4 linked regions of the Drosophila melanogaster genome follow. The protein of the gene in region 1 interacts with the protein of each later gene in a pairwise test. Each region holds a gene or a part of one and is shown in the gene's direction. Other genes may lie near its edges.

Evidence for each region.
Region 2: the proteins of Tsp96F (region 1) and CG43183 interact in a two-hybrid assay, tested with the Drosophila melanogaster proteins (one large-scale study listed by BioGRID).
Region 3: the proteins of Tsp96F (region 1) and Nep3 interact in a two-hybrid assay, tested with the Drosophila melanogaster proteins (one large-scale study listed by BioGRID).
Region 4: the proteins of Tsp96F (region 1) and EndoU interact in a two-hybrid assay, tested with the Drosophila melanogaster proteins (one large-scale study listed by BioGRID).

Annotation. Positions count from the first base shown.
Region 1 is NT_033777.3:25,876,341-25,884,806, reverse strand, and holds the start of Tsp96F (tetraspanin 96F), read left to right. Parts: upstream 1-3,379; 5' UTR 3,380-3,725; coding exon 3,726-3,791; intron 3,792-8,080; coding exon 8,081-8,275; intron 8,276-8,466.
Region 2 is NT_033778.4:8,589,037-8,595,725, forward strand, and holds CG43183 (uncharacterized protein), read left to right. Parts: upstream 1-3,158; 5' UTR 3,159-3,284; coding exon 3,285-3,408; intron 3,409-3,459; coding exon 3,460-3,548; intron 3,549-3,605; coding exon 3,606-3,738; intron 3,739-3,797; coding exon 3,798-3,868; 3' UTR 3,869-3,933; downstream 3,934-6,689. Other genes in the region: CG14752 (uncharacterized protein), read left to right, coding at 1,534-1,554, 1,987-2,048, 2,529-2,784; CG8736 (uncharacterized protein), read right to left, coding at 5,129-5,605, 5,813-5,827.
Region 3 is NC_004354.4:19,957,076-19,965,552, forward strand, and holds the start of Nep3 (neprilysin 3), read left to right. Parts: upstream 1-4,221; 5' UTR 4,222-4,525; intron 4,526-4,613; exon of another isoform or gene 4,614-4,770; intron 4,771-6,100; exon of another isoform or gene 6,101-6,266; intron 6,267-6,879; coding exon 6,880-6,996; intron 6,997-7,706; coding exon 7,707-7,869; intron 7,870-7,930; coding exon 7,931-8,051; intron 8,052-8,121; coding exon 8,122-8,436; intron 8,437-8,477. Other genes in the region: CG43784 (uncharacterized protein), read right to left, coding at 782-798, 895-1,150; CG12655 (uncharacterized protein), read right to left, coding at 1,425-1,825, 2,226-2,292. UniProt on the Drosophila melanogaster protein: Metalloendoprotease which is required in the dorsal paired medial neurons for the proper formation of long-term (LTM) and middle-term memories (MTM).
Region 4 is NT_033777.3:15,904,285-15,912,607, forward strand, and holds EndoU (endoribonuclease U-specific), read left to right. Parts: upstream 1-4,113; 5' UTR 4,114-4,308; coding exon 4,309-4,435; intron 4,436-4,494; coding exon 4,495-4,654; intron 4,655-4,800; coding exon 4,801-5,006; intron 5,007-5,063; coding exon 5,064-5,296; intron 5,297-5,359; coding exon 5,360-5,602; 3' UTR 5,603-6,083; downstream 6,084-8,323. Other genes in the region: CG45105 (uncharacterized protein), read right to left, coding at 6,203-6,679, 6,771-7,534, 7,762-7,886. UniProt on the Drosophila melanogaster protein: Endoribonuclease that cleaves single-stranded RNAs at uridylates and releases products that have 2'-3'-cyclic phosphate termini. Preferentially cleaves single stranded RNA at poly-U sites with CU, UC and AU sites cleaved less efficiently.

The DNA of each region.
Region 1 (8,466 bases):
ACTGACCCCCTATTTCAAGGCAATAAACTATGTAATGAAAATAAAACTCAGAAACTGCGGAAAACGCAATGTTGTTTTTGGAAGAATGTTTACCTTTACACTTTTAAAAATAGCGGTAAAAACGCGTCCAGACATATCATATAAACATACACATGTATGGACTCTGTCTATATATAGAAATTATATTTTATTTCCCCATTTCTTATTTAAAGCTACAAATGCACCTTTCCTTTCTAGACATTGAGTGAAGAAACAGAGAAAAATATTATACCACATCATTTTGAAAGTTAATTTTATTAAAATAATTATCAAAAACGTTCATCATAAATTTCCATATTTCACAAATAGATATCTCTAAAACAATAAGAAACGTTTTTTTTTAAATTGAACACGTTTTGTTTTCTGTGTAGGGAAATTATAATAACAACAACCGGTGTGAGAAAATAACAGATTGTCCGCATGGGATTTACAGGCAGCAATAACAACAATTAACAGACAAGAAGAAGGCCGTAAAAAGCAGTTAAAATTGGAATAAATTATAAAAGCGTTACCCAGTTTTCCACGATGCCAGTTTTCCATTGTTATTGCCACCAATTCTATAGTATTTTCACACACACAACGCACTCATACACCCACGCAGGGTTGTTGCACTTGGCAAATGGAAATGTAAAGGCGCTGTTATTAGAGCGGCGCTCTGCTAACTCGCTAATGACAATAGGGAGACAGAGCGGGATAGTTGCGAATGACAATAAGAGAGACAAAGCGGGACAGTTGGCAACTTCCTTGGTCGGTGTTGTTGTTGCTTCAATCATGTCGCTTTTGTTGCTATTGTTGCATGTTGCCAAGTGCCGTTGCTCGCACTAATTTATGTTGACTGTTGGCAAATGTAGGTGCATGTGTATTGGTGTCTCTTTTCATGTTTGTGTGCGGAATGTAAATGATTGAAATTCGTACATATGTACATATGTATGTAATAATGTATAAATGAAGCGATGGCCAAATTTATAGGGATTCTTTAAAGCTCCGAAATCAAGAAATATACAAAATGTCACGTATTTTTACAGGTTAATTAAAACTTGTTTGAGCCCAAATAACCCACATTTCTTCTCATTTTATATTTGAAAACAGGTTTAATCCATTTTAACTACGCTTTGCTTAGTGCTTTAAATAATCCTGATATAGAATTCAATATTCATGTCTTTCAAAAATTGAGTTTAAAAGTTTCTGTTAATTAATTAACAATTGTTACACAACTGTATCTGTGTCTGTACATTTCATTTTGCATTTGAATTAGTGTTGTTCATTTAATTTTTCTCGTCTCCCACAGTTTCTATCTCCCTCTTTCACCTCCTAGATGCAACAAATTAAGTTTCCCACACATTGCAATTTCAAGAGGGCGACAAAATGGAGAGGGGAGATGGAAAACTGTTAACGAGCGCTAATTAAAATGAAATTATGTGGCGGGTGTAAAGTTACAGTATCCAAAGTTGACACAATTTTCACAGTTTAAAGCGGTTATCGAAAATGAGCTACATAATTAGCCAAAATCATTGAGAAAACGCCGCTCGCATCACTCACGCATAAACTTACATATGCGCACACACACACGCAAACACTTTCTAATTTGAAACGCCCCAAAGTGGGGAACAAAAACAAAATAAAAGAAGTACCAAGCAATTGGCTTCGCTGTAACTGCCCACGACGAATGTGAAAGTGAAATTGGCGAAGATACAGCATTCGCAGTGGCCAAGGGGCGAGGGGTATACCTCTAACATAGAAGAGAGTGGACTTTAAACATAAATATTTACCGCTACCTTCTACACAGTAGTTTATTTCGTGAGAAAGAAACACAATATAAGGGTAGCTTTTAGAAAAGCTGTACTTTTTTCTATTAAAACTTTTCAAAATATTAAATGAAACCGTATATATTATTATTCACATTTTTATTAGGATTTCTAGCAAGCTACTACATATTACTAATCCAATCTTGCTTGTAAACGTTTGCTAATATAATTATATTTACGTTGAAAACAGTGAAATGCGCTACATTAGCACCGCCGACGGGGGAACCAATTAAGTTTTTAAGTGCACTGAACGCGGAAAGCATAAAAACAAGTGCGTAAAGTGGGCGCAACGTTTTTCGTTTATTATGCAAAAAGAGGGGGGGGGAGGTAGGGGCTTTACTTTGGCAAAGACTGGCTTGCAGCGCTTGAGAAATTTTCAGTACGACTAAAGCTTAGGCTGCGCTTTAAGGTTTTTTCCTCGTTTTTCCATTTCGTGTTTGGTTACACTCCACTTCGTTCCACTTCATTCCATTTCCATTCCACAAAACTCCAACTTCGCTCCACTGCGTAACAAAATTACAAGACACACTCACACAAACTTGCAACAAGCCGACAACAACAACAACAGCAATAAGGGAAGGGGGGAAATTGTCATGTTTCTGATTTCAATGCAATCGAAATATATATTGAAAAACGTATGTGGTGCACTCGATACTCCCCAAAAAAGTTGGGGGACTTTTCGCTTACTTTGCCTTCACATTCACATTCGCGTTTGGCTGTATTTTCCTTGGTTTTTGTTTTTCCCTTTGCACCGATGTTCGTTTTCGCGATAAAAAGGTGTCTGCTACATTTTCACGCGCCTTTCATTTGCCTGCGAGCCGCTTTTCATGCATATTTCCACGATCTTCGGCGGTCGCTGCACTTAAACGTTAGACAGCCATTTTGCATTTGTTTCTATTAGTAACTATTGCGGAGGAGAAACAACAACGAATTAAACATTTCACGCTTTAGGCCATTTTCGCCTGCGCGAACAGTGTGACCGTTTCGCAGAAGAATGAACAAAGCATGAACTATTAAGGTCACATTTCAAACTGTTTACATTTACAGATTTAAATATTTTGGGAAAATCATAGCCAAAGTAAATCAAAAACCTGGAATATCCTAATTTTCAATTACCCACTTTCATAGTAATAATTAAATAGACATGTTAAAATAATGTAAACAACCACAAATTTATACTTTAAAATGAAATCTACTTTAAATATGGTGATTATAGCTGAAACATTGGGGATAATAGTTAGTTAGAATATCTAAATTTTTAATTTTTAACTTTCATAATAACAATCAAAAGGTTATTTGAACATTATGTAAACACTGAAACTAAATTACTTTTAACATTCAAGTGAAGTTTTTATTTTATTGGGAAAATTGGCAATAGAACTTATCCAAAATATCGATAGGCCACTTTGGTTTGCGTATAGGCTGCAAATCCAAGCAGGTTGCAAGCCATGCTAAGCCTCATCAAAGTTATTCAACCACTTCTTTGGTATCTTCTAAGGGTCACCACTTTTCGGTTTTTAGCCTTTCTATACCCGCTGGTATATTTGAACGGCCGAGCTAATGGTCGCACTGATACAAGAATTTTACGTTGGACGGACGCCTCGATGCACAAATAAAATTTTTAAAACAAATCGGGTGCAACGGCCAATCGCGCAAACAGTGGCTCAAATCGGTGGATTTTAGCACGGGAAATTTTAAAAAAATTTGAAAAATATAGTACAATCGAGCGGGTGTTTTGAAAAAGTGCAAAAGGTCGAAAAGTGCAGGCGACACTGCAGTTCGGGGTTCCTTGGAAAAAGAGCATCTCCAAGTGGTTGAAAAACCAGTTAAATTGCAGCTACTTTTTAAGGAGTTACCTATTTAAGAATATCAATCCGCGCCATGGGTCTCAACGGCTGCTGTTCGTGCGTCAAATATCTGATGGTCCTTATAAACATTTTATTCTGGGTATGTAGATTCCAGCAGCAGCAGCAACAACAACAATGCGAGATTCGGTTCTCTCCCATCACAACAACAACTGGAACACACGGACCTCCTTTTCGCGCGCGTGTGTGTGGGTGTTGCGTGAGCGAATGTGTGTGTGTTGTGTATTCCCTACGCCCCTCTTTCTCACGCTTGGCGCGCGGGCGGAGGGAGGAGCCGTGCGCACGCTCTTTGGAGTCCTACCGCTCTTTCAGTCCCTCTTTCCACTCTCTCGATCCCAGAGGTGCCCAAAACATAAGTTGAAACTTATTTAAGTACGGCTTGAAATATTTAATCGAAAAGGAAGTAAAAAATATAAATAAATAAATAATAAAATAAATATAATAATATATTAACTTAAATATTTTTTTTTTAATGAGCGGGCTTAAAAACATTAAATGGACAAGATTATATAAATATTCAAGTACGCGGTTAATTAAAAACATTAATAGAAGGGTTTTTCTTTTTGAAATTAAACAAATCGGTTTTGTTTGTTATGAACTATTTGACTTTAAATTATTTTCTACCATTTATAACTTCAAAACTTCAACTGGCTTTTAAAAGCGACATCACTGTATCTCTCCATCTCCCGCTCGCACTCCCTACCGCTCTGCTCGTACTCCCGCATAAAAACAATAGAAGTTCCGTTGTGGGAGGGGACACACACACACACAGACAGATAAACATTTAAGCATCTCCATTCCCACCTCCCACTGTTTTCTTTTCCCTCCACATGTTTGTTCAGTTGTTTTTCTTTTGCTTCTGTCTCTTCCTGTCTCTCTTTTTTTGTTTTATTATTTTTATAACGTATACGTGCCGTTGATATTTTTACAAACTTCGGTTGGCTTAATTCGGTAAAAAAGGACCTCTCCTCACCCCAAAAAAAAGGGTTTTACTTTCTTTGGCCAACTTATCTGCTTGTTGTTTTACGCAATTTTCGACTTTCAACATAGCCTCGTTAGGCTTTCAATTGTTTCCATTCAATTACTATCTGCCACAGCGATTGTTTGCGTTTGTTTTGAGTTTCCTTGAGTTTTTCTTGGGGTTTCCTCTTGTCTTCCGCGGCTTGCGAAATCAGTTTCGCTTTTCCTTTGGGCAACAAATTTAAAATTTTGATTCTTATGCGGGCTGATTTCTAATTTTTTTTTCGTTCGTTTGTTGATTGTTGCTGCCTTTTTTCGATTTCTGTCTATAGTATTTATTAGTCAAAAGCTATTTTCGAATACGGGCGAGGAACAACACAAACTTACGCGTCCGTTCAGTTTTTCGTTGTTGTACACAGAAAGAAAATACTGATGCCTAGCCAAGTTTCGTGTTTGGAAACTTTCGAATACCTTTCAATTATTTTTCGTTTATTGTATATATGTCATGTAAAAAAAATTAAAATTAACCGATCCCAATAAGATTATATCCAATAATTGGTTTCTGTGTAATGTTCCTTGATCTGTGATGTTTTAGTATTCATCGTTGTTGTTGTTGGATGCACAGTGGTGTGTTTGATTTCAGTGGAGGAACAATGAGCGATAGAAATTGTGATGTGTTTGTGATGCAGTTCGTTTCACTAATCGTTTGAACTATTTTTAGAGCGATTTATGGATGAAAGTGCGTCAGATATTATTTTATATAAGACTTTTTATACATTGTTTTGAGGCTATTCTTAGCCAGGGCATGTTATCAATTACCCCACAAAGCCATAATAAATTTAATAATAGTATTTTTATATAACTTCGCAAAAAATGACCACTGTCCGATTAGTTTTGAATCTCGCTCTCCACTGTGCATCGATTTCCAAACATTTCCATTTTCATCGTCGCCGTGGGGCATCGTGATCAAACGCCACGATCTCTGAGGACGCTGACGCTCCAATGGGGCCGATATCCCACATCCAAGATGCTGGGGGAGGCCTATGCCATAAGCGTCTAAAATGCTAAACGGCCGGCGCTGTCGTCATTGAAGTTGACAGTGACCAAAACTGAAAGATTTCCAAATATTCGGTCGACCATCTGACAATCCTATCCTGTCCACCCACTAAAAAAACCATTTATTTCAGCACAGTCAGACTTCCATAGTGCAGAATTCTTAAATTCCTGAAAAAAATGTAATCTTTTGCTGTGAATAAAATAATATTTAAAAATATTTCTCCAAGTAACGAAGCTGGCCTGTATCTATTTTCAATTCGCTGTGACATGTCACATCTACATACTTAATTCGCTGTGCTATTTTTCACTCAATTATTCATGAGTGGCGCTTCATTCATTTTTCAGTTTGTATTTTCAGCTTATGGCTGATGCATGATGGCTGTTGGCTGCGATTTGCCATCGATGCGGTTAATTGTGGGACAAAACTGTGACTGGACATGCAATGCAAGCCCAGCTGCCTTTTGGCCCCATTTTATTTTTTTTTTTGCAATTTAGCAGCAGTAAAATGCTCTCTCGTTTTCCGCTTTCGACGCCTCGGCTCTGAAAACTGGGTCAACGAAGGACTCTGTACATTTATTGGCCCATTCGGCAGGATTTTTGTTTGTTTGTCCTGGACACGCGACATAGTGTCAGATGTGTAAAAATATATGTGTGTGAAAACGTTCGGGGAATCGTAAAAATTCCAACAAACAGAGCTACAAACAAGGCGTGGATTCAGTTCGTTCAGGGATAATGGGACTGATTCAAAACGAGGTCAACTTTTGTTCCCTAAAAGGATAAGGGAATTGAGGTTTATCCAAAGTAGTATATACATACACATACTTTATAAGAGCTCTAGGAATAAACCTCTTCTTCAGAAACATTTTTTTTTTTAATTCAACACATGAACAAATTCAAGATTATGTTACTGATCCATACCCGAAAACCTGACCTGGAAAAATAAGTAAAATCTATGCAAACAAGGGCTTCTGGTTACAATGTACTTACTCAATAAACTGCCCTCGAATGGGGCAACATTGTATTACGTTTCCATGAGTAGTTTTTCCGTTAGCTGCACACATGCACATTCATGAACTTTAGGGCCAGCATATCGTGCACTTTGTGGCACACTTTTTGTCTCGCTCACTTTATGGCAGCTCTCTCTTTCGTGGACCACCCACATAAAAGCCGGTCTCCGCTTCTCTTATATTTCATAAGATTTTCATGAAATTTACGAGACTTCCTCATGCTTTTTCATCCGTTTTTCCTGGGCGCCAAAAACTGTATCTTATATTTTGCTGTATCTTTAAGTTAAATAGATATTTGCTTATTGCGAGATCCACTGCGTAATCTTATCGGAAAGCACTGATGCTCTTGGCAATTACAAAAGCTTGCGGGCTGAGAAAAAATACGAGATAAGAAGTGTTTTGTATTTGGAAATGCTTCTCAGTTAGCCATCGGTTCTTAAGTGGTTCTAAATTTACATATTTCCCATGTAATATGTGCACTTGTTTACATCTCTTGATTAGCTCTCATCGCACACTCAATTTCCCTGCGATGAATAATTTTGCTGAATAATTAATGAACTTGCATAGACACCTCGACCAACCCATTAAGTCATTACCTCTATATTAGATTCTCTTACTCATTGCACGAGCGGAACAACATTTTTCTGGTGGATGGATTGGCAATAGCAAGTTTAGTGTTTAATATCTGGGTAGGAAAATTTAAGAAGAAATACATTACCGGAATTCTTTTAGCGGAAATCCAAAGAAAAGTTCATATTTCGTTTGCTGATAACCCGAGAAGTGAGATAACACGAGCTCGCAATTCTCATATTCTCGCTTGGGATCAATGTCTTGCCACTTCTATATGTATATACATACAGTATGTCTTGGCGATGAAGGCCAAAATTTAACTTTAAACCAAATTTTATCGCATCATTGATTTTCAAACTTAATGGGCCTTTTCTTATCGGGTTTTGAAAGTTCGGAGCTCAAAAAGCTGCCTTTGAATCTGTATACTGGATAGAATTACTGATTTTTTTTTTAACAAATTGAATGGAATGGGGAAAATTGTAATTTGTACTTGGTTTCTGTTTACTGCCTTTAATTAAATTAAAAGAAGCGCAACAGCAGTTGCTATGTATATAGTCTGCGTCCAACTAAGCTGACATCATATGTATGAAACTATAGAAGTTTAAAGCAAGGCGAAACTGGGCGGGGCAGTCTCCCACTTTAATTGCCGCCTTGCCGCCAGATGGCGTCATTGACGCGTGTGCCCAGCGTGAGATGGATGCAACAATTTGAGAATTACAGCGAAAATGTGTAAAAATAGGTAATGCTCTACTATATTTTGTATTCTTTTCGCTTGCAGCTCATCGGACTGACCATCGTGGTGACCTCCGTTTGGATGCTGACGGATCCCACATTTATGCTGTCGATGACACAGAACTACAATCATTATCACATAGCCCTGTATGTTTTCCTCGCCATCGGCATACTGATCACATTGGGCGCATTCTTTGGCTGTTGCGGAGTCTGTCGTGAGTCGCAATGTCTGCTGGTTTCGGTAAGTGAAAAGTAATATCATAACCAGTGTCTGGGAATTCCAATTAAAATGCATGCAAATGTGTGGCCCACACGGTTCCGCTCATATGATTGCAACGGAGGTTCGCCCACAATGTCTTGGCAGTTTGGCAAAACGATGCACTTGCCAAAATAATTTTATACCTAACTAAATTGGACTGTGAATACAGAAAA
Region 2 (6,689 bases), on another chromosome or scaffold:
GCATATTTATCGCTCAGACAAATATCCATTATGCAATTTGGCATGGCTAAAACGAGCAATTTGCCGCAAATGCAATAACATCCCGGCGAACGGGGTGGGGAAAGCCGATGGTGCGGTGTTTTGGTGGTTCGATGGCTCGGTGGGGCAGGATGGCAGTGGTGCGCCCTCAAACGCAGTAAAAGCACACTGGCCTATATATACACATGAAAGCCGAGTGAGTGAAAGAAAAAAACAGCGAGTGATACTAATGGTTTAACCCGTTTGGAGCCACTTTTTATTAGGTTGAACTATAATACTCTGTTTATCTTGTTGCCAGACTAAAGATATAAAATCTTGTGGAGACTTAGTAGTGCATATATCACTTACCCCATTTTGATTATAGATTATATTTCTGAACGGAAGCTCCTTGTTCAGCCTTAAATGGGTTAAGCACGCCGCAAATTGAAGCTCTTGACAGTTGAGTTAACAGCACAGCACGGCAGCAACATGCAACATGCAACAACCAGTTGCAACAGCAGCTGACGTGGCCAGCGTTATGTCAGGGGCATTGTGGCATTGTAGAATGGGCAAAAACAATACAAATCCACACAAACACAATCAAAATGGAATTTCTTCAAAATCGTGTGATGCATTGCTTGATTAGCGCCACATCTACTGCTACTGTTAAGTAATTGCCCGAAATGCGTTTTATTGCAAATTTACGGCGTACGTGTTTCGTGCTCCATGCGTCGTGATGTGAGTTTCGCTGGGGATACATCCAAGACTGGACTCCTGTAGCTCCAACGCTGACCCACATCAATTGACACCAGCGACGACAGTTACCACTATTACCACAGAAGACATTCAAGGTCGATTGGTGGAGATGTCTTCCAAGCGATATGGAAGGGCCAAGAAATTTGGATTAGCGTGACAACTTTGTTTTGTCTCCGGCCGCACACGTTCACTTTTTGCGGCGGTCTACAGAAGGCCGCTAAGTGATCCAGTCAGCGGCGGTATATGTGCTACTTGGTCATGCATTCGGAATGATTTTAGCTCCACTCCGCGCTCTGTCTTGCGATTATGATTATGAAATGAACGTAATTTGCCCCGTATTACACAAAGCCCCGCCAAGTCAAAGTTCGATCGTCTGCCATTGTGGACAACTGAAGCATGGACCACCGCTCCCAGTCCCTCTTTACCACCGACCAGAGGGTCTTAACCCCTCGTAAACAGATGCCAACGACGGTTAATACAAATCACATATCACTACACCATGTTGGCCATGTTAACAGTCGCGCGTCCACTGTTATGCTTATTTTCGCTTGGCCGTTGAAGTTGCTGCTGCTGTTGTTGCTGCTGCTGCTGCTGCTGTTGTTGCTGCACCGACGTCACGTCTTTCTCGTGCAGCGCAGTCGGCTTGCAGCAACAACACAAAGCGCTGCTGGCGCCCGGTATAAAACGGATGAGTCGCAGCCTGTGGTTATCAGTCACCACCTGACAGTGCTCCGGTTTTAGTATCGCCTTTCGAGTGCAGCAGAGCTCAGCCCAGCCACCATGTCCGTCCTGAAAGTATTCGTAAGTGCGACAAGGATAACGTTCGAAAAAGTGTTAAGCCAAACCTCCGCGGAATGGAGCTGAAAAGGATTAAACTCATGTGGACTATCGTGAATAAAACTAACCAACTGAAACATAACAAACTCACTGAAAACTGACTTCGATAACCGAAGTATTGGAAATATACCACCAAGATCGCCTGATGGCTTAAAAAGTCTCGAATAGATATTTCAAGAAACTGCGAAAGCATTTATTTTGCAGAAATATAAATTCACCCAAAAATATTAGTTTATGTTTATCAATCGCGGACTAACATTTCATTAGATTACTTAGATTTCACCAGAATTGAACATAAATTTTGAAGTGCCAAATTAAAACTAATCACACTGATTAGTTAGCTATTTGCGTTAATCTAGCCGGACCTAACTTACTAACTTCCTTATCCCCTTTCAGATCTTCGTCGCCCTCTTCGCCGTGGCCTACTGCGCACCCAGTCCCGGCTTCTTTGGCAAACAGTGAGTATCGGCGGCGATCTGCACCTGAACTGATCCATAAATAACCCGAGCGAATCGATAAAAATACCCATTTCCCGCTTTATGCTAAGCTAACGAGCGGTCGCATGGCTTTTTAAACGCTGCGACTGCTCCGTGGGTCTATGAAATATGTGTCCGATTGCGATCGAATTGAGCAATCAAAACGCTTGTAGCACTTAGAGCCCCAGCCCCCTCCAGCAGTCTCTATATGGTGCCCACCACTGGCTACCATTGAACTTAGCCGATCTCGACTTGGCTTGGCTCGCGGCTTAGGAATTTCGCAGGCGGCGGTTGGCATTTAATTCAGCGTAATGCGCGCATAATTGTGCGAATCAATTGCCAATTGCCAATAGCCAATATGCAATAGCCATGTCTGCCAAGACGCTGGGTTCAAGCAACTGATTAGCTAACAGGCGATGGTACATGGCATTCGATCTAACCGATTTCACTTTCGATCCGCAGCGAGCACCACACCATCCACGTGCCCTACAAGGTGCACACGGTGCACCACCATCACGTTCAGAAGGTCCATGTGCCGGTGGTGAAGCACGTGCCGGTGCCCATTTACAAGGAGGTGCCCGTGCACCACGTCCACCACGAGGAGATCCCCGTGCCGGTGCACCACGTCCATCACGAGGAGATCCCGGTGCACCATGTCTTCGATGACCACCACGACCACCACGGCTGGAGCTCCCACCACGGACACGGCTGGCTGTAAGCCATCTGCCCGCTGGCCTGCTTGTCTTCAAACCCACCCACTCAGCCAGTCCCATCTGAAGCAGCCTGTAAATACTGTACAATGCTAAGTTAATGAATGTAAATAAATCACAATTCGACTGTACACAGAACAATCCTGGCGTATTTATGGCAGGATTCCCTGAAGTGGAACCTTAGTGTTTGATGGCTCACAAGTAATCTAATAAACCAAATACTTTTAATGGGAATGAAATAACGATTTTGTTATTTGAGGCTTTTTAAGTTGTTGCGATTAGGATAGATGGTTACTTTTGAAGACTCGAAACTTGCTTATCTCTATATTTATATACTATATAAGATGGTAGAATATAACCTACTTGTTAAGTAATATTTTTCAAAAGATTTTTGTTATCAGTGACAGAACTTGTACACATAAAATAAAAACCCCATATACTCAGATACTCAAATACTAATACCCTGATAGCAAATAGCCACAAATAGACACACTACCACATTTGCACCATGATATATCTACAGAGTTGCTGCTGCTGCGTGGATCTGCGAATCGGAACCATAGCAATAGGGATTTTGCACATTATAGCGGATATCCTTGGAGGCACATTTGTTGCTTTATTTGGGGAGTCGGGTAAGTGAAGCAGGATACTTGAGAGCAAGGATATGATCCTAACACCCATAGGTATTCCCGATTTGGGTCACACCCTATTCATTATCTTCGTTATGCTGCACATCCTGAGCTGCGTTTTCCTGATCATCGGCAGTATACGGGTGAGATACCAGTACAATTGATTAGTTTCAAATTATAATACTTATGATTTGATCTAGTTACGGAGCAGCTGGATGCTCTTCTACATAATAATGACTATGATCATGGCGGTAGCAATGCTCATATTGATAGTATCCGACGTCATACTCGCCGTTTGTTTCTGGGTAATGATCACGTATGCTATAATGTTCTGTAAGTAGCTAAGTGTATCTAAGATTTCACAATCCCTTAATTTTTCCCCATTGCTTCAGTTATTTGCCTTTATTCCTGGCTAGTGGCGTACTCTTTTTACGCCGCCTTAGGAGGACCTCTCTTCATCTGAATGTGATCCATTGCCAAGTAATAAATTGTACTGTGATTGTAGCAATAAAGTACTTGAATTTTTACAAATCGATCTGCATTTTAAGTGGAATAATCATCGTAGAGTACCGAAATAACTATATCTCATCTCATTTGGTTCAATCGTTTTGGATTCCAAGAATTCGAATATTCCTTTTCATGCAATAAGTTTCCCATAATCACTTCCCATTACATTTGTTTGTAAAATTACTTTCGTGAGTTGCACTTTTTTCACACACTGCCAAAAAAGAGCAAAAAAAATGGGGCAATGCTATATTGATTATAAATAAAGCAATGATTGCACGCATATTTCAGGTGAATTGGTCGGGAATGTGATAGGTTCGATTGGATCATTGCTCCATTAGTTAATCCCACTGCAAGACTGTAATTTGCAGTTGCACTTGACCTTGGGCCGGTCTCCCAAAGGCGGCAATTAAGCCGAAGTTTTGCAAGAACGACTTTCACAAAGCACTCACTTGACCAGCTCCGACTGAGGTCGACCGCCAGTCCGCGTCCGCTCCGCTCCGATCTCTCCCTTCCTACGATCTCCACGAACCCGATCCGATCCGATCCGGTCCGGTCCGTCCACTCCGCTCCTTGCCCAAGTACTTACTGTGCTGCAAGTCAGGGGCGTGGCAGGGCACATTCTCGGGGCATGAGCTCTCTTGGTTCCTAGTTCAGCACGCTTTTCAGCTAGAACTGGTCCTAGGGCAGTGGAAATGTTTAATTAAGTATATACCTTTTACACTTTCGGAACTCTTATCAATTTAACTTGAGAATTTGGGATATTTCCGTCATATAATTCAAGCTTAAAGTAGCAGGATCATTCCTTTCTGTAAATCAAGTTTCATGGAGCAGGATCTTAACAGTCTTCTTTCATACCTCATTTAGCGCACTTGACTGAATGAGTTTCTGATTGTAGACAGTTCAAATTACTTTATTTAATTATAAATGCTTACTTTGGTCAATTAATCTTTTCTTCATTAGTAAGAGTTCTATGAACCAACCAACAATTACATTTTGTAATATAGTAAGAAGTTGTAGTTGCGAATAGAACGATTTGTATACCCCCATGTATCTGCAGCTATCAACCATAGAAAGTCCCATTTCTTTGACCAACATTTTGCATTTATTTCGGCGCCAACAACAAAGAATTTCAGATTAATGTCCACTAATTGAGAACTGGGGAAAGGCGAAGCGTTAAAGGAAGCTGCGGCTGGCCGCAAGTGAGCCCTAGGCCGCCCTAGTTGCAGTACGGGAAGTTGGGGCACTGGTGCGGCGAAACTCCGGCGGGATACAGACGCTCCGTCCAGCCAGGTAGAGGAGGAGCTGCCACGGGAGCACCAGCGTGTCCGGCGTTCACGTCGCAGTAGGGATAGTTGGGGCAGGTCTGCGGATTGACGCCAGCTGGATACTTATCGCCACCGGGTGCGGCAGCAGGGGCTGCGTTCCACGAGGGCTGTGCCTGCCACTGTGGCTGCGGCTGGGGGTTCCACTGGGGTTGAGGTTGCTGCCACTGTGGCTGCGGGTTCCACTGTGGCTGCGGCTGGGGGTTCCACTGTGGCTGCGGGGCACCCCACTGCGGCTGCGGATTGTGCAGGCGCGCATTATCACAGATGGGGAAGTTGGGGCAGTCCTGCGGATTCACGCCAGCCGGATACTGGGCAGCAGGTTGGTGTTGTGGCTTGGCCACCGCCAGGGCCACGAAGGTAGCGAAAAGCTTTGAAAAGATTTTAAAAAAATATGGAATTTTTAAATGTAATAAGATACATCTGTAGTTTGAAAAATATCTGGAACTTAGGATCCTCGGATCTTAAGAACTTCAACTAAAATGTTGCAGATTTGGATTCCAGCTCCACTTAGTAGTTAAAGGAACTTTTTCAGACGCTATCCTTGTGGGCAGAAACTTGGCTCAAAGGGCACTTACCAGCTTGCAGAACATGTTGGCTGAGGTGAGTGGGTGGTTGGTAGTTGTGGAGTTGGTTCTGGTGTGGGGCTTATGGTAATCCTTGCCGAATTGGACTATGGAGTCGTAGCTCAAACTTCCAATTGGGTTCCTGGTCGGCGCTGCACTGCTGCTGCCGAGCCCGGCCATCAAGCTTATATAGCGGTGCTGGCTAGAACCGACTCTTGGCCGGGTCTCAATCTCAGCCAGAGTCTCTCGGCCAGACTCGGTTTCACTTTCATTACTGCGGCTGCTGTGCTTGTTGCTTTTGCTATTGCTGCTGCTGCAGTGGCTTTGCTTTACTTTTGCTTTTGTTTCTGTAGTTGACTGATCTCGCGCATATTTTACTTGATTGGCCCAACAGATTATTATGAGTCTTTGTTGTGGAGCGCGGACAAATAAATCGAACGGGGCCGACGGACAGATAGATATGTACAGACATACTCGTGCATACATACGGGTAATATGCTTAAACACCCAACTATGCAAACACATACGAGTGCGCACTCCCCTATCGAGTTACCGACAACATGCCGTCATTAGCAATGAACTAAGCCCCCAACTTGCATTTCGGCCAAAAAGAAATCTCCAGCCTGGGCTCGTACGGGTACATTTGACAAAGTCGCGTTGGCGTTTGGCCAATTTTCGATCCGCATTTGCCAGCGGATCAGTTCGTGAATCACTACGCTCCGCTCCGATTCGCATTTGGACTTGGATTCGGATCGTGTAAGAGGCACAGGTCGCCACCACCATCGCCATCGGCCTGCCATTGGTTCCACCATCGCCTTGGCATGCCACTGCCACATGTCGCCCGGTCTTGGTCTGCCCGGAAGGCAGCGGTGGTCCGCGTCATTGCAAA
Region 3 (8,477 bases), on another chromosome or scaffold:
GGACAATTAGGTTAATAGCCGGTTAAATTGGTAACTCAGATATAAGTACATACAATATGTACATGGAAGGAAGTCAGATATACTTATCGGCTAATTATTTCAGCCATATGCATATCTCAATTATCCGCTCGTACTCATATATGTATATTAGATACAAGCATGTGTGTTCTAGGTGTATTTGCGATTTCCTATGAGGTCATAAGCCCTGCGACTCAGTTATGTTGGCCCAAAAGCTTTATCAACAGGTGTCAGCGCATATTCCACTCCATATTTCTTTGTTTTCGTTTGGGTTCTTTTCGCTTTTCTGCCTTCCGAAGGGGCGGCTAATTACATGGGCGTTGCTCGCCTAAATATATCAATTGTGTGGGCGTGTCCCAAGAAGATGACTCAACCGATTTGCTAATTCAACTTGTTTATCGTTAGTCACTCGAACTGAGCAGCTGCGTTCGAAGCAATAATTTAACAATTTCACGATCTTACGTGCAAACGAATCGTATTTATTTATGTATTGTACATTCATATAAACGTTGAATAAAAAATTCCTTGTAATTGTATTCCTAACAAAACAACGAAATGAATTTACATCGCTTCACTTGGAAAGTTTGAATTTAGTGAGGCCTGCCACTTATAATTTTAGCTTCTTAAAAATGGCAAATAATTGTACAACAATTTGAATACATCCGAATTTTTCGAGCTTATCAGCTAATTCTGGGAAAGAAAGAAGAGTCTTACTATATGGACGAAATGCCTTTCTAATATATCTTACCTTCTTAATCCAAACTCAATCTGAATCTGAATCTGTAAATAATATGTAAATGTTGATTACAAAATTTGATATGACCTGCCTTTTAACTGTTTCACACCAATCATACCATTGATGCGAAGATTACTTACCACTGCCACTGTTACAGTGACTGGCACTTGCTGTTTCCTCTAGCATGTTTAAATAATAGTTGTCGTTATGTGTGCGGATCACACCATCAACGATTAGCGTATCAAGGGCGTCATCAATTCGCCTTCCCATTTTCCAGAACTTCTTGTCTGTAGCTGTGCTCACCGCTTTTAGGATCACCTCCTTGGAGGCAAAGCCACCCATGGCGTCGATGCACTGGATCACCAGGTGGCTAATATTCGATTTTTTTTGCGACATTTGAATATCAAATTTGCTTCGTTTACAAAATAATTTAAACTTTCACTATTATGAATAAATTTTTGTTTAGTAATGTTCAATGTAGTTCTCTAAGCCTTCTGGGCTTACCAAAATCAAATCAACTAATTCATTCTGACAACAACCCACCTTCCAGTAAAAAGCATTCTATGTTTTAGTAAATTTAGTAAAGAATTTACACAACTGAAAAGTTTACATAAATTAAGCTTAGAGACTAATTCACAAAAAAAAAAAACGATCCCACACTGCAACCGCATCAAAATCTCATGCCGCCCAAGGCCAATCCAAGTGCTATGGTCACGGTGACGCCCACCGAGCTGCCGATGATTGCTCCGCCATTCTGGTAGCCATAGGTACCCGGGTAGTTGGGGTCCGGCCGTACGCCCATGTAGCCCGGCTGGCCGGGATGGCCCACCTGGTTGTTGTAGGAGAAGGGACGACCGTGCTCGTCCGTACCGCTCACGTAGTAGGCTCCATTGCCACCCGCTCCACCGTAGGTACCACGCGAATCGATGCCGGCGTATCCGTAGCTGAACTGCGGATCCTGGCCACTCAGACTTCCCGGCGGATGCATCCCGCCGGACTGGGCGCTCGAATAGACGCCAACGCCGGCCGCATTTCCATTGTTCCAGTGCACCGTTCCGGCCTGGGCATCCACTGGATTCAAATGAAATGTGCTTGAATTAGTAACGCATGTAAAAGGTAACTTTCCTTGACCACAATGTACCCGCCACTTCTCGTGGACCAAACATGCTACATGGTCGTTATCAAAATGAGACCTAATACTATTACACATTTTAAATCAAATAGTTTAAAAATTTTGCTTTCATATTTGGTTTCAAATAGAAGAGATCAATAATTTGCTGATAATATCGCAGTGCTTAATTCTCCATTAGAAGTTGAAATTGAATTTGTTTACTTGGCACCGTCGAAATGGTATCGTGTGTGCGAATGCGATGTGTTATTTTCCATGGAAAAGCCGCTGAGGTTTATACGTATGTTTATTTATCGTATTTTTTGTGCGATTTTTCATATGTTCTGTTAGCGTTTCACTCACCAGCACTAAAATGAACTAGTGCCAATCCGATAACAATGACGATCAGAATGCGATTGAAATTCGACATGTTTTCCGAATGCGCGTTTGACTTCAACTAAACCGCTTCCAAAGTGCCATTGACGGTTTTAAACTCGATTCCCAAGCTCGGCTCTCATGTTATGAGTAACAATAGCGATTTTCTGCTGCCCTGAGTCATATTATTTGGTGTTTATTTACTCAATTTGAATGGAGCTGTAGTTTCGGTGGGGTATGATCAAAATAGGCACTTTATTTAGCACTGAAATCGAAAATCGAAACAACAGATTAAACATCTTAAATCTTTTTGGGTAAAATATTACCACTAGGTATCATATAGTCGAATTGCACAAAAATTTTCTCTGTTACAAGTTTACAACCTGTATTTATCTCACTCTGTAATTAGATATGACTTGTGACTTGAGATTAACAAAATAGTTTCGGTTAGCTGCAGGTAATGGGTATCTTTTAGTCGACGCACTTTTCTCAATTAATTTGCGTCTGCTTTATTAAGGAATCCTCAAAATAAAATTTAGCTATACTAGTGGTATTAATTCTTCTTATTGTTCATATCCATTCATCGTTTATTTGTTCCACATGCAGATGAGATTATTTTCTTTTCGATCAAAGAACATAAAACCGCGGTCGTACTTTATTTTCCCAAACGAGAACACGCAACTTCAAGTGCTTTCATGTTCGAGTGTCGAGATGTTATTTTTTTTTTTTTTTTTGCTGTATAGAACACGATAATTGGTTGGGTCATTAATGATATGCACGACACGGGCCGGGGTCATTTTGGGTTAAGGTGTGCTCCCATGTTGGTTTGCCCCAGAAGTCGAGATACATACATACATACATATATGTACATAGATCTTCTGGCGAATGGGGAATGCCGAGTCACAGTGCTTTGATGATCGCCCGAATTGTATTCGAACCTTCGTTGATCTTTTATGACCAAGTATATTTTGCATACATATTTTTCTAAATATTAACATATGCATGTTGTATATGCATATAAATAAACAAATATATATATATATATATATATTTATATATGTGTGTATTGTTGTCCGTCCGTTTCGCACTTTTCAGGTGAGTGGCGTTCGGAGGCGGGCAAACAATGCAGGTACGTTGTGGCTACCGTTCGACGGAAAATACATACAAACATACATATACATATGTACATACATGTATGTAGAAAACGAAAAGCCTCACAATACAATTGGTGGGCATGTGCGAATTGTTTGCTTTCTCAGTTGTGACGTAAAGCAATTTAGGTCGGCCGATAGGGTTATGCTAATGGACTATTCAATACCTTATGCTTGTATTTTTACTGCTTTGCCGAAGATAGTGAAATTGAATAGTGACTTTGTCATTCGACTGACATGTTCATTGACGTTCATTATTCATAGCCATTGCTCGCACAGGATTCATTGTTTCTAGAAGCTGTATGCTGAATCTCAATCTTCTAGCTTTTATAGTACCTGAGATCTACGGATACGGACAGATACGGACAGACGGACATGGCTAGATCGACTTGGCTATTGATCTTGATCAAGAATATATATACTTTATATAGTTCGAAACGCTTCATTCTGCCTGTTACAATGCTTTTTTAACGAATCTAGTATAACCTTCTACTCTACGAGTAACTGGTATTCAAATTTAGCTGATTAATTGAGAATTACGAGAATCGTTAGCTTTGGATACTCGATTACGTGGGTTAAACCGATAGCTTGTTGAAGGGCACTGTGATTGTCTGGCAACTCGTTGCGCGAAGCGTTGCCACCGTTCAAACAGATCCTGCGCAGTGGACCACGTTCTCCGGCAATGGGTTCAACTCGCTCCCTCCTGCCACGCATTTCTCTCTCTGTTTGTGTGTGTTTTGCTCATCTAATACGTTTGTGTTATGGTTTTTCCATTTTCGAGGGAGTCCAACCACCCGACTCCCAGCGCCGAGTGAAATTTGGAGAGAAAAGGCTAGTTCGAGTGCGATTACCGCTGCTGCTGGTGCTGGAGCTGGCTGTCAGTGGCTCGAGTTGGCAGTGTTGGTGGATACCGTTGCCTTTTTGTGGCTCAGAGCGGTTTGTTTGACCGCGAGCGGAATGCAGATAAGCGCGTTTTAAATGAATCACTGAACGATCGAATGTTATACCCATCGAGGGTCGGCCAAACTTAATCGAAAGTGCACCAATAAACGGCAAAGGGTCGAGAAAAAGCGAGCGCAGGGAGCTGGAAAAGTTGCATTGCCTTCTTTCTAGCGCACAAAGAAAATGAGCGCAAAGGTAGGCCAAGAGCGCGCCTCTCTTTTGCTGAACGTGTGTGTGTGTGTGTGTGAGTGTGTCAGTGTGTGAGTGTGCTGTATGTGCAATCAGAAGTACCACCCCACCACACCACACCACTTCCAAACAGTCCGATTCAAAGTCATAATTTCATTTGCATTTGAATAAATGCATCCCAGGCACACCACCCTCTCACCACTCACACATCTAAGCTGCTCCGATTTTATGGTCCTTGGTATAGAGAAATTGTAAGGAAAGCTGCACAAATGAAGTAGCTACCATATGGTATACCAAATAGCCAGGATACTCGCAGCCAAATCGAGAAAGGAGGTGGCATAACGACAGATAATGACGAGTCGAGAGCACTCATTCTACCAGATTTCAACTCAGTGCAGCTCAAGTGAAATCCCATTGTGGTGGTGATTCGGTGAATCCCTGCAGTTATCATCTGTTGCCCTGCAAAAAAAATGGCATGAAGAGCCGTTTATGAACTCGGAGAATCCGAAGTAGCCATCATTGACTTTCACATGGGCTCCGTTCGGTTCATTAAAACTCCCTTGGATGGACGCTTTGGTAGAATAGTCGTAGTAAATGGTTGAGTGAAATATCCTTATTTCGAGCATAAGACTAAGGTATATAATAACTTAGTTAATCATTTTCAATGGGACCTAAAGTTGCATCATATTCAATCATGTTATGAACTTAATATATTTCCCATAAAAGTATTAAGACGTCAATTCCGTTGATTTGCCCATTAAGTCGAACCTTTCAATGGTTTTCTACCTCCTTGTTTTTCAATACATTAGCCGATTTGATTGGTGGCAAAAGGAGGGCTCGTTAGGCGTAACGCCATTTAATGCGTGTTTACATTCAACAGTCTGCTAAATGTCAGTTGGTGTGCAGCCTGTGTTTACATTGCGATGGAAAATCGTGGCGAGAAGCAGTCCAAACTGAGGGATACCTCTTGCTTAATGTGTTTTTAAATGTGGTTCTATGTGGCCCATCCATTTTCACGTGTATTATATACCTATTGTATACCTGCAATATCATATCGCCCCCATCCATCATATGTTATTTATATCGCTTGTTGTCCGACACCAGATTACGTTCGTAAATCTATATCGAAAGCTTAAAGATACCAATTTGTTGGCAAACAAGATCGAGTGCGAAATCATATCATATGGCGCCTTTCCGATCCCCGATCCCAAATCGACATTAGAATATTATTCGGCATACCGAAAATGGGTGGGTTGATATAGAAGATATATAGAAGTGCACATAAGCAAGGCCGAATCTTTTGGTGTATATTTGCATTGTGTTAATTGAATACATATGCCGCTCCTTTTCATTTTAATGCGCCCAGTATATCCATTTCGGCTACATCTTGGCACATATTGCCGCAGTAAACACGCACACAGCCGCCAGTCAATTAATTTGAGTACAATGCAAAACTATCCAATATAACGCGCCGTTGGCCCGTAGATGTTTTCTGCTTTCGGCGGGCATTGTTGAATTGGTTGGTCGCAGAACTCGGAACTCGCAGTCCCTGAGTTCCGAAGCTCTCCGGGCTCGACCGCCAGTGCCTTGCGAGCGGTCATGGGCTAAGCACAGATAGTATCGTTGCCGCGCTCTGTTTTCGTATAGCTCCTCCCGTCGAAGTTCCGAAAAATAAACACACTACCGCATACCGTGCTCTCCCCATACACAAAGATTAACCAAAATGTGGCTTTCCGACTGCCGTTCGGTATGTCCGTGCTTCAGCTCCTGTATCCCATTCACTTTTAGTTGGGCACCTTAGTTAGACATGGAATGCTGACAAGTGGTTGAGAATGGGTTTTGTTCATGTTCATGTTTCAGACTTCGCGATTTCTTTCGAATGGATATCTAGATAGCGAGTAAAAATAGTCCAAAGATTACGAGGAACTCTTAGTACAAAATTATACATATATTTCTCTTAAGTTGTTGTGCATTACCTTTTTCTATTTCTATATTTCCATATAGTTTGGGTAATTTGCAAATTGTTCCTATGATGAATGCACATTTTCTGAAAACCCAAGGCATATCGTAAACTTGGAATGCTCTGCTGACTGCTGAAGGGTTAACACTTTTGAGTACATAGAGCACCATATGAAAATGGGCAGCAGTGGGGGATGTGAGAGAAATGTAAAGCACAAGGCGTTGAGTGAGCGCTAAAGAACGCACGGTATCTATACAATCCGAGCGGAAAAGCTTCGGTCTACTTATCAGATGCCCTAGACCAAAACATGTGATAACAGATAGCAGCAACATATTTAGATTATTAGATACACGTTGGTAGGCAATTTGATGGGTTTGCAACAATTCGATTCTCATTCCAGATGACGCGCTACAAGCAGACCGAATTCACGGAGGACGACTCGAGTTCCATCGGCGGCATTCAATTGAACGAAGCGACCGGCCATACGGGCATGCAGATACGCTACCACACCGCCCGGGTATGTAAGAAACCTGTCGGGGTAACACCGTGCATCCGTGCAATGCAATTCAGTCGGATAGCCACTTAGTTGTCGTTGGGCTTCAGCTTTATCTTTGTGGCAATGACCCAGAAACGAGTGGCAAATGGGGCCAAAGTGAGCGCTTTTCTCATTTGCTCGAAGGTTGCCAGTTGACAGTGAAAAGTCTGCTCTTATGAGTGGGAGCGCGTTGGTGTGAGCTTTTCCCTCTGCGAACTGACATGAATACCCTATCTGGTGACAGGGTAACGATGGCTTTGAGAGGCGGTTCGTTGTTCAAATAAATTTAAACTTCATGTGATATTATTCCATAGATATACGAAAGCACTTGACCGTATACAACTGTATCAACAAAATGTCTAAAAGCAAGTTAAATTACTATAGAATTTAAACAGTGTGGTACAATATTTGTCTTTGGAGACTGCATTTCATGAGTCGTTGCGGCTTCTGAAAAGCCATTTATCTATATCTCAGCGATATATGGAAAAATTAGCAGGCAAGTGCCTTACGCTTACGAAATGTATCCCATGTAGATACCACCCCAATGTGTACAAGTTTGAACTCATTTGAACCGCCGTCGTCTTGTTTACAAAACACACAATTCGCTGGAAAAGATTTATGGGGCGAATCTTTTGTGCCGCCATGTGGAGGCCAGAATGATTGGTGGCTAATGCGGCGTTTTCATTTCACAGGCTACATGGAATTGGCGCTCGAGAAACAAGACGGAGAAATGGCTGCTCATCACGACTTTTGTGATGGCCATCACGATCTTTACGCTGCTCATCGTCCTTTTCACAGATGGAGGCAGCAGCGATGCGACCAAGCACGTCCTTCACGTCCAGCCGCACCAAAAAGGTATGGATTGGGTGAATGTAATCTAGGAATTTCCAAGGATACACAATCGTCTCCCTTTCAGATTGTCCTTCCGGCAATGAGCTTCCTTGCTTGAACAAGCACTGCATCTTCGCCTCGAGCGAGATCCTTAAATCGATCGATGTGACCGTGGATCCGTGCGATGACTTCTATGGATATTCCTGGTGCGTTAACTAAAAATTCAATTCAAATTGTTCAAGAGGAGTTCCAGTAACTATTTGCTTAAAATTGCAGCAATCAATGGATCAAGAACAACCCCATTCCCGAGGGGAAATCCACGTGGGGTACGTTCGGCAAGCTGGAGCAGATGAACCAGTTGATAATACGTAACGTACTGGAGAAGCCGGCAAAAAGCTTTAAGTCGGACGCGGAGCGGAAGGCTAAGGTTTACTATGAATCATGCCTGGATGCGGATGAGCACATGGAGAAGTTGGGGGCAAAGCCCATGAACGATCTACTGCTGCAGATCGGAGGATGGAACGTGACCAAGAGCGGCTACAACGTGGCCAACTGGACGATGGGACACACTCTAAAGATTCTTCATAACAAGTGAGTTAAGCAGGGTTTCTAATGGCGATTTATATATTGTA
Region 4 (8,323 bases), about 10 Mb from region 1:
TTCAATAAACCAAGTGGCGGACAAACAAACAAGCACTGCCAATTTATACCCAACAAAATGCGTTGCATTCAAATATCACACCGCACACGGATTGTTTATTTTGCTACTATATGAACGGGAATTGTAAGCAACGTCGATTTACGAATGCAATCACTCTACTATAAATATTTGCATAAATATGGATGGGATAGAACACTATTTTCCAATTCACACTCACAGTTTATATCAAATGCCAGGCAACTGCACACGACGCCGTTAATATTTGAACTGAATAGAATTTCTAGCCCGACTGGCCTTTATAAAAGACTTCCGAGCGGCAACAACAACTGACACAAAATAAACGCAGCAAACGAAGCTACAAAAGTTTCCGAGCTGATAATCTTCGTACACTATCATCCAGAGAGGTCAACTTGGGTGAAAGTATACGTATGGGTCTTTCATTTCGTAAGATTTGGTAAATATTGTCTGAGACTGCTTGTCACAACATTAGAACGAAGCGAATCAATAAAACGCGCGCTCCGAATTTTGAAGCTTCGGAGTTTTAGGAGTCAGGAGATTAAAAGAAGCAGCAAAATCCAGTTTTCGGCTAGACTACAAGACATAATTACTTTAAGTATAAAGAACTAACCTTGATAATCAAATTTACCTATACCTAAGCTTAAAAAAGGCAAACATTGTATTCGAAAATATTAGATGATTGTAACAAAGCAAACAATTCGCTTCACTGTGAAGAATAAATCAAATGCTAATCCAAAACATAATGTATCAAATTACAATATTTGTAAAGCTCTCCTTTAGTACACTAAATTCTTCTACCAGGTGGATCCAATCCAAAAGCAAACTGCAAACAAATAACACCTTTCGTGACGAGCTATTTGTTTTCCCGTGCCTTGAATAATTATTGATCAAGGTTAATTTAAATATAGCATGATGGATATCTTGGTATTAGATTGTGAAAGTTAATGTCGTTTTCGTCATTCCATCTTTGGCGACAATGTATTTAATTTTATTTACGTTTTAAAGACTATTTTCAACTAATTGTAGGAACTGCAGTCCAGACAATATAAGAGTAAAATCTTGTTGATATTAAAAAAAAATCAAGCCCTAAGAAAATTTCGCACTGCAATTATAGGTGTTCAATTATACAATATTTTGTTCACAATTTATTGTCAATTTTTTTTCAAATCACGTCACAGTTTCCTGTTGAAGTTTTTTTTGTTAAACACAGTATGGTTTAAGCCCAATTTGGAAGTAATTATATTACAGTCGAGACTTTAATACAAATGACGCTATATTCGCTGAAACAAACAAATTAGTAAGTGCGTGATTAAATTATTTGTTTAGTACTTCCAGATGAGAGATTCAAGACACGATGTTAGTAATTAAAAGAGACTTTGGATGAAATTCCTTAAGTACCAAAAATTAGTAGGCTTGCCACGTGCCATATGTTCCCACAAAAATATGAATTGAATTTTAAATATCTATAGGTACTAGAAGTATTGTGGAAAAGAATAATTGGTTTCATTCATGCACGTTTAAAGACTGATTCAATTGTAAACCTTTTTATAAAATGAATTAAAATATAAATGATTATCCAAGGTAAAACAGAATATTAGTTTTTCAGTTACATTTTATTTATATTCGTTTGGCTTAGCTTTATTTCTTTAGGAAACTAATTGTTTTCCTACTTTGACTGGCCGCATAAATTATACCATATGCTGCACATTGTCATTTATGTCCTCAAACTTGAAATTTGGCATGGGGGCCCAACGAATCCGCTCCTGAGTAAACAAAAGGCTGCTCGCGAGGTGAAAACAAACCACAACAATGATCCCCCAGAGAGCGCCGAAAACGAAAATAATTGGAGAGGGAGAGCGTGTTATCCAATTTTTCGGGGGAACTACTTGTGTGTTCAGCAAGCATATGAGCGGCCAGATCCGCAGTGTGGCAAACCCGCTCAGTATCGTTTCAGCCATAAAGGTAGTTGGTCGGAAAGAGCAGATAAAACTCGATCAACGCGAGAGTTTTGGCTGAAGATAAACGGCGAGCATCGGGAAAGTAAACAGAGGCGCAAAAACAAATGTTTGACTAATCTTAATTGGATAATTATATCACAATGGACGCAGTGCAGCAGCAAACAAACAGCACTAGCAACATCGACAGCGCCAAATGCCAGAAGCTAAAGAGATTTGTGATCGTAGGCTTGCTGATCACCATTGGCATTTTGAGCTGGCACTTCTACGGTGAGTTGTCTCTTTAAGCTCTCTTCCGTAAGCGAACGGACAACGGTTTTTTCTCTTAGAGTACTTCCACAGCAAGCCGCTGCCCAAAACGCCGGATGACGTCTTGACCCTCTCGAAGAATCTGTACGCGGAGGAGACCGAGGTCAGTCCATACCTCTACAAGGTGAATCTCCAGGGGAAGACCACTTCAGGTGCTCATGACGATCGCGCCCCTAGAAAGTAAGTACCTAGTTGCGCCGCCTAATGAATTTTATCATTAAAATATTTAATTTGATGATAAGGCAATTTAATTAAAATAATTATTAATTCATTAAATACTAAAGCTGTCTAATAAACATTATTTCATATTTCTTGAAATTCATTTCGTGAATTCATTTCGTAAGATTTGGTAAATATTGTCTGAGACTGCTTGTCACAACATTAGAACTGAGCTAATCAATAAAACGCGCGCTCCGAATTTTGAAGCTTCGGAGTTTTAGGAGTCAGGAGATTAAAAGAAGCAGCAAAATCCAGTTTTCGGCTAGACTACAAGACATAATTACTTTAAGTATAAAGAACTAACCTTGATAATCAAATTTACCTATACCTAAGCTTAAAAAAGGCAAACATTGTATTCGAAAATATTAGATGATTGTAACAAAGCAAACAATTCGCTTCACTGTGAAGAATAAATCAAATGCTAATCCAAAACATAATGTATCAAATTACAATATTTGTAAAGCTCTCCTTTAGTACACTGAATTCTTCTACCAGGTGGATCCAATCCAAAAGCAAACTGAAAACAAATTACACCTTTCGTGACGAGCTATTTGTTTTCCCGTGCCTTGAATATATTGATATATTGATATATTGATCAAGGTTAATTTAAATATAGCATGATGGATATCTTGGTATTAGATTGTGAAAGTTAATGTGGTTTTCGTCATTCCATCTTTGGCGACAATGTATTTAATTGTATTTACGTTTTAAAGACTATTTTCAACTAATTGTAGGAACTGCAGTCCAGACAATATAAGAGTAAAATCTTGTTGATATTAAAAAAAAATCAAGCCCTAAGAAAATTTCGCACTGCAATTATAGGTGTTCAATTATACAATATTTTGTTCACAATTTATTGTCAATTTTTTTTTCAAATCACGTCACAGTTTCCTGTTGAAGTTTTTTTTGTTAAACACAGTATGGTTTAAGCCCAATTTGGAAGTAATTATATTACAGTCGAGACTTTAATACAAATGACGCTATATTCGCTGAAACAAACAAATTAGTAAGTGCGTGATTAAATTATTTGTTTAGTACTTCCAGATGAGAGATTCAAGACACGATGTTAGTAATTAAAAGAGACTTTGGATGAAATTCCTTAAGTACCAAAAATTAGTAGGCTTGCCACGTGCCATATGTTCCCACAAAAATATGAATTGAATTTTAAATATCTATAGATACTAGAAGTATTGTGGAAAAGAATAATTGGTTTCATTCATGCACGTTTAAAGACTGATTCAATTGTAAACCTTTTTATAAAATGAATTAAAATATAAATGATTATCCAAGGTAAAACAGAATATTAGTTTTTCAGTTACATTTTATTTATATTCGTTTGGCTTAGCTTTATTTCTTTAGGAAACTAATTGTTTTCCTACTTTGACTGGCCGCATAAATTATACCATATGCTGCACATTGTCATTTATGTCCTCAAACTTGAAATTTGGCATGGGGGCCCAACGAATCCGCTCCTGAGTAAACAAAAGGCTGCTCGCGAGGTGAAAACAAACCACAACAATGATCCCCCAGAGAGCGCCGAAAACGAAAATAATTGGAGAGGGAGAGCGTGTTATCCAATTTTTCGGGGGAACTACTTGTGTGTTCAGCAAGCATATGAGCGGCCAGATCCGCAGTGGGGCAAACCCGCTCAGTATCGTTTCAGCCATAAAGGTAGTTGGTCGGAAAGAGCAGATAAAACTCGATCAACGCGAGAGTTTTGGCTGAAGATAAACGGCGAGCATCGGGAAAGTAAACAGAGGCGCAAAAACAAATGTTTGACTAATCTTAATTGGATAATTATATCACAATGGACGCAGTGCAGCAGCAAACAAACAGCACTAGCAACATCGACAGCGCCAAATGCCAGAAGCTAAAGAGATTTGTGATCGTAGGCTTGCTGATCACCATTGGCATTTTGAGCTGGCACTTCTACGGTGAGTTGTCTCTTTAAGCTCTCTTCCGTAAGCGAACGGACAACGGTTTTTTCTCTTAGAGTACTTCCACAGCAAGCCGCTGCCCAAAACGCCGGATGACGTCTTGACCCTCTCGAAGAATCTGTACGCGGAGGAGACCGAGGTCAGTCCATACCTCTACAAGGTGAATCTCCAGGGGAAGACCACTTCAGGTGCTCATGACGATCGCGCCCCTAGAAAGTAAGTACCTAGTTGCGCCGCCTAATGAATTTTATCATTAAAATATTTAATTTGATGATAAGGCAATTTAATTAAAATAATTATTAATTCATTAAATACTAAAGCTGTCTAATAAACATTATTTCATATTTCTTGAAATCTTCCAGCCTCTTTGAATTGCACCAGGATCTGCTGGCCAGGGATGCTAACTCCACCACCGCTCTGCTAATGAGGCTCTTTGACAACTACGAGTTGGACGTGGCTGTGCAGGAGCATCCAACGCCGGAGCACGTCCAGGAGCAATATGATTTCCTTAGGGCCGTGATGGGTACGCGTGTGATGAAGCTGACCATGCGTTTTTTGGTACACAAGGGTGAGTAACCTTTAAATGAAATAAATCAGACTAGTATACCTATCCAATACCATCTAGATATTGTGAGCGTAGAATATGACGATCAGCTGCGTCTGCTGCAGGAGCTGTGGTTCACTCCCTACTCCAGAGGTCGTGGCATTGTGGGCAGTTCCAGTTTCGAGCACGTCTTCATGGCGGAGATTCGGGACCAGAAGGTCCTGGGCTTGCATAACTGGCTGTACTTTGCAGATCAGGAGCAACGTGGCAATGTGGACTACAAGGGCTGGCTGAACCACAAGGAAATGGGAAAGGTAAGGCTTAAAGACAAATGTAACAGATGATCCTTACAAAAGGGGATTGCTATATTTCCTCAGCACAACCAAATGGTTCTCAGCGTTCGCTACACGTTTCACAACATCAATAAGCCAGTCAACGGCTTCTTTGTGGGCATCTCGCCCGAACTGGACATGGCCCTGTACACCGCCTGCTTCCTGGCCACGGCGAAGGAGGAACCCTGCCACATCCAGTTGGGTCATGCCTCCGCCACGATTGTCTCCCACGAATGGAAATGGAACGGTATGCGCCTGATAGGAACCGTCTATCCGGACAGCTCCTAGATCACTCCAACCACCCATCTCGCAACCTCAGTCAAATTACTGACATTCGATTCGGTCGCACTGTTACCTCATCGAAATCAGCAAAAGGCTAACCTCCAAGCTCAAAGTCAAGTTCATTTTATTTTGCCACTTTATGAGTGCTTGGCCCAGTTGTCGCTGGCAATTGACGAGGATGTCAGTCAGGACATGAACAATGCCCATCTGCCTATCATTTTGGTTGTTTTGACAGGATTGCGTGGCGCAGAGCACTTACATCACGAAGTTGTTTATTAGTTCTAACATTAATAGTTATTACTGGCGGAAATTATGCAAGAGGCAAAAGCGTTTATTTTGAAGGAGCGAAAGGAGGAAAAGTGAGTGTGACGTTTTAGTATTATGCAGTCATTAAGCTCACCCTCGAAATGGATTCTACCCACTATAATTTTTATACCTTTGAATCTCTTGAACTAGCTAGTTGAAAATAAAATAACAAAATCAACTTATTTAAAATGGATTTATTAGTTATAAAACATGAATTTCCCTTCTTCGTTTAATTATGGAACACATGAGTAGAAGTACGTTGATTGAAGAAACTGTTGCTGGAGAACTCGGTGCTGACCCCTATTCATGGGCATCTAGATGGCGCTCGATGGTGACGGTCTCGTTGGCAATGTCCGCCTGCTGGACCACGGCCGGTGCACTCGACCTTCTGGCTGTGATGATGGTGGTCTGGGCCGGGGACAAGCTCTCCTCCCCCGAACCATTTTCAGCCAGGACCACAAAGGTCTCGCTGAGATCGGCCAATTCCGAGCAGGTTTCATCGTTGGACGAGCGCATCAGGCTGGGACTACTGATGGAGCACTCCAGCGTCAGGCGATCCTCGCAGTCGGGACTCCAGCTACTTTTTGCCGGCGGCTGACGCGGCAGGCTGTTGTGGCACAGCGGATTTTCCGCCGGCGACTGCTCCAGCCGCAGCTGCTGACCCCACAGCTCCACTGCCCGGGCGCGATTGTGGTCGGCCCGTTCCGGATACTCCTGTTCCGGCTGCTCCTGCTGTTGAAACTGCAGGTGTTGCTGCTGCTCCGGTCGCTCCTGTTGCTGGCGGGGACGTGATGCCCGTTGCCGCCGCTGCCAATGGCGGTGGCGATCTGTTGTAGTCCGTGGCCATTCGCTGGGGGGCAGCTGGTACCTGGTACTGGGACTGCGGCTGTGACTGGCCGGCTGCGGTGCCTCCTGGCGTGGCGTCATACTGGTATCCAGACTGTCCATAGTCAGCTGCTCCATAGTCGTATCCGGCTCCCGCATCGCCGTAGTCATACTGCTGCCCCTCGTACTGCTGCTGGCCATAGGCATTGGGATCATAGGCACTGGCGTCGTACTGCTGCTGATCGTAGGCACTGTAGTCGGTGTTATAGGCGGCCAGATTGGCGCTGCCGGCATTGGTAATGCTGCTCTCTGCCACAGGTTGCGACTGTAGCTGCTGCTGCTCCGCCTGTTGCTGCTGCTCGGCCTGCTCCCGTTCCCGCTCCCGCTCGCGTTCCCTTTCCCGTTTTTCGCGCTGCTCGCGGAGTTGCTGGAGCTCCCGGTCGCGTTCCTCTCGCTCCCTTTGCCTGTCCACGTCCTGCTGTTGCTGTTGTTGCTGCTGCTTCTCGCCCAGGCCAAGGTTGTCCTTGAGATTCTCGTCATCGTTATCCTGGAGTCCATAGTCGGCGATGCTGCTCTTTCGTCCAGGGGCTGTCGATCCTGATCCTGCTGATCCTGCTGCTGCAGCTGCTCCTGCAGCAATGCTGGCTGCTGTGGCTGCCGCTGCTGTTGCGGATGCAGTTGCTCCATCGCCCAAGCCAATCCCTCCGGACGTGTAATCACTGTCGCTGGCGCTGTTGTGTGGTTGTGGGGTGCTTTGTATGGGTTCGATTGGGGTGCCATATGTCGCTGCCTGGTAGTCGTAAGCGGCTGTGTGAGTACAAGAATTTTGATTAGAGTGGATCGCCAATCAAGTGTTATAGGTGTGTGGGTGGAGTCGTCGTGTGAGTCGAGGCTCTAAATAGGGTCTTTATCGGGCAGATCCGCCTCCTTGACTTCAGCTTCCGATTCTGATGGAGTGGTTAAATCAGTTTAGAATTAGGGACTATGGGATGGAGGTGCTCTACTTGGTTATTGACGGGAATTGGGGAATTTACCTTTTCCGGGTACTAAGCTAGTATAATCGTGTGGTGAGCTATCTAATTTACTCATATGCTCCTCATTACTCAACATTCGATTGGACAGATACTCTAGATTCGATTGTAAAGCAGATATTTCCTCTCTTCAAGAAAGTTTAAATGTAGGGAAACAGATCAAGATACGGAAAGATAGAAAGAGAATCAGATGGAAGAAAGAAAGAGGGAAAAAGATATTAGTTAAATACTGTTAGGTACCGTCACGGATTTTATTGGGTGCTCCTCCCGCATGTCCTCGGAGCTCAGCTCCGGGGATCCCTGGTGCGCTGGCAGTTGTGCCTTGTATTTGCCCCAGATTTGCCTAAGGCGTGACATTAGCTGCTCGTTTGTGGCTCTCAGCTGCTGCTTCTCCAGACTGTGGTTCATCAAAAACAGAAAATATGTCAACATAAATCAGGGCAAACTAAAAGCTCGCAAAAATAAATACAATTTGCTGCTAGAATAAGAACTAGTGCTATAATCTAAATTTACTACGCTTCATTGCACGTAAATGATGCTTTAAATTATAAATAGTTTCATTAGG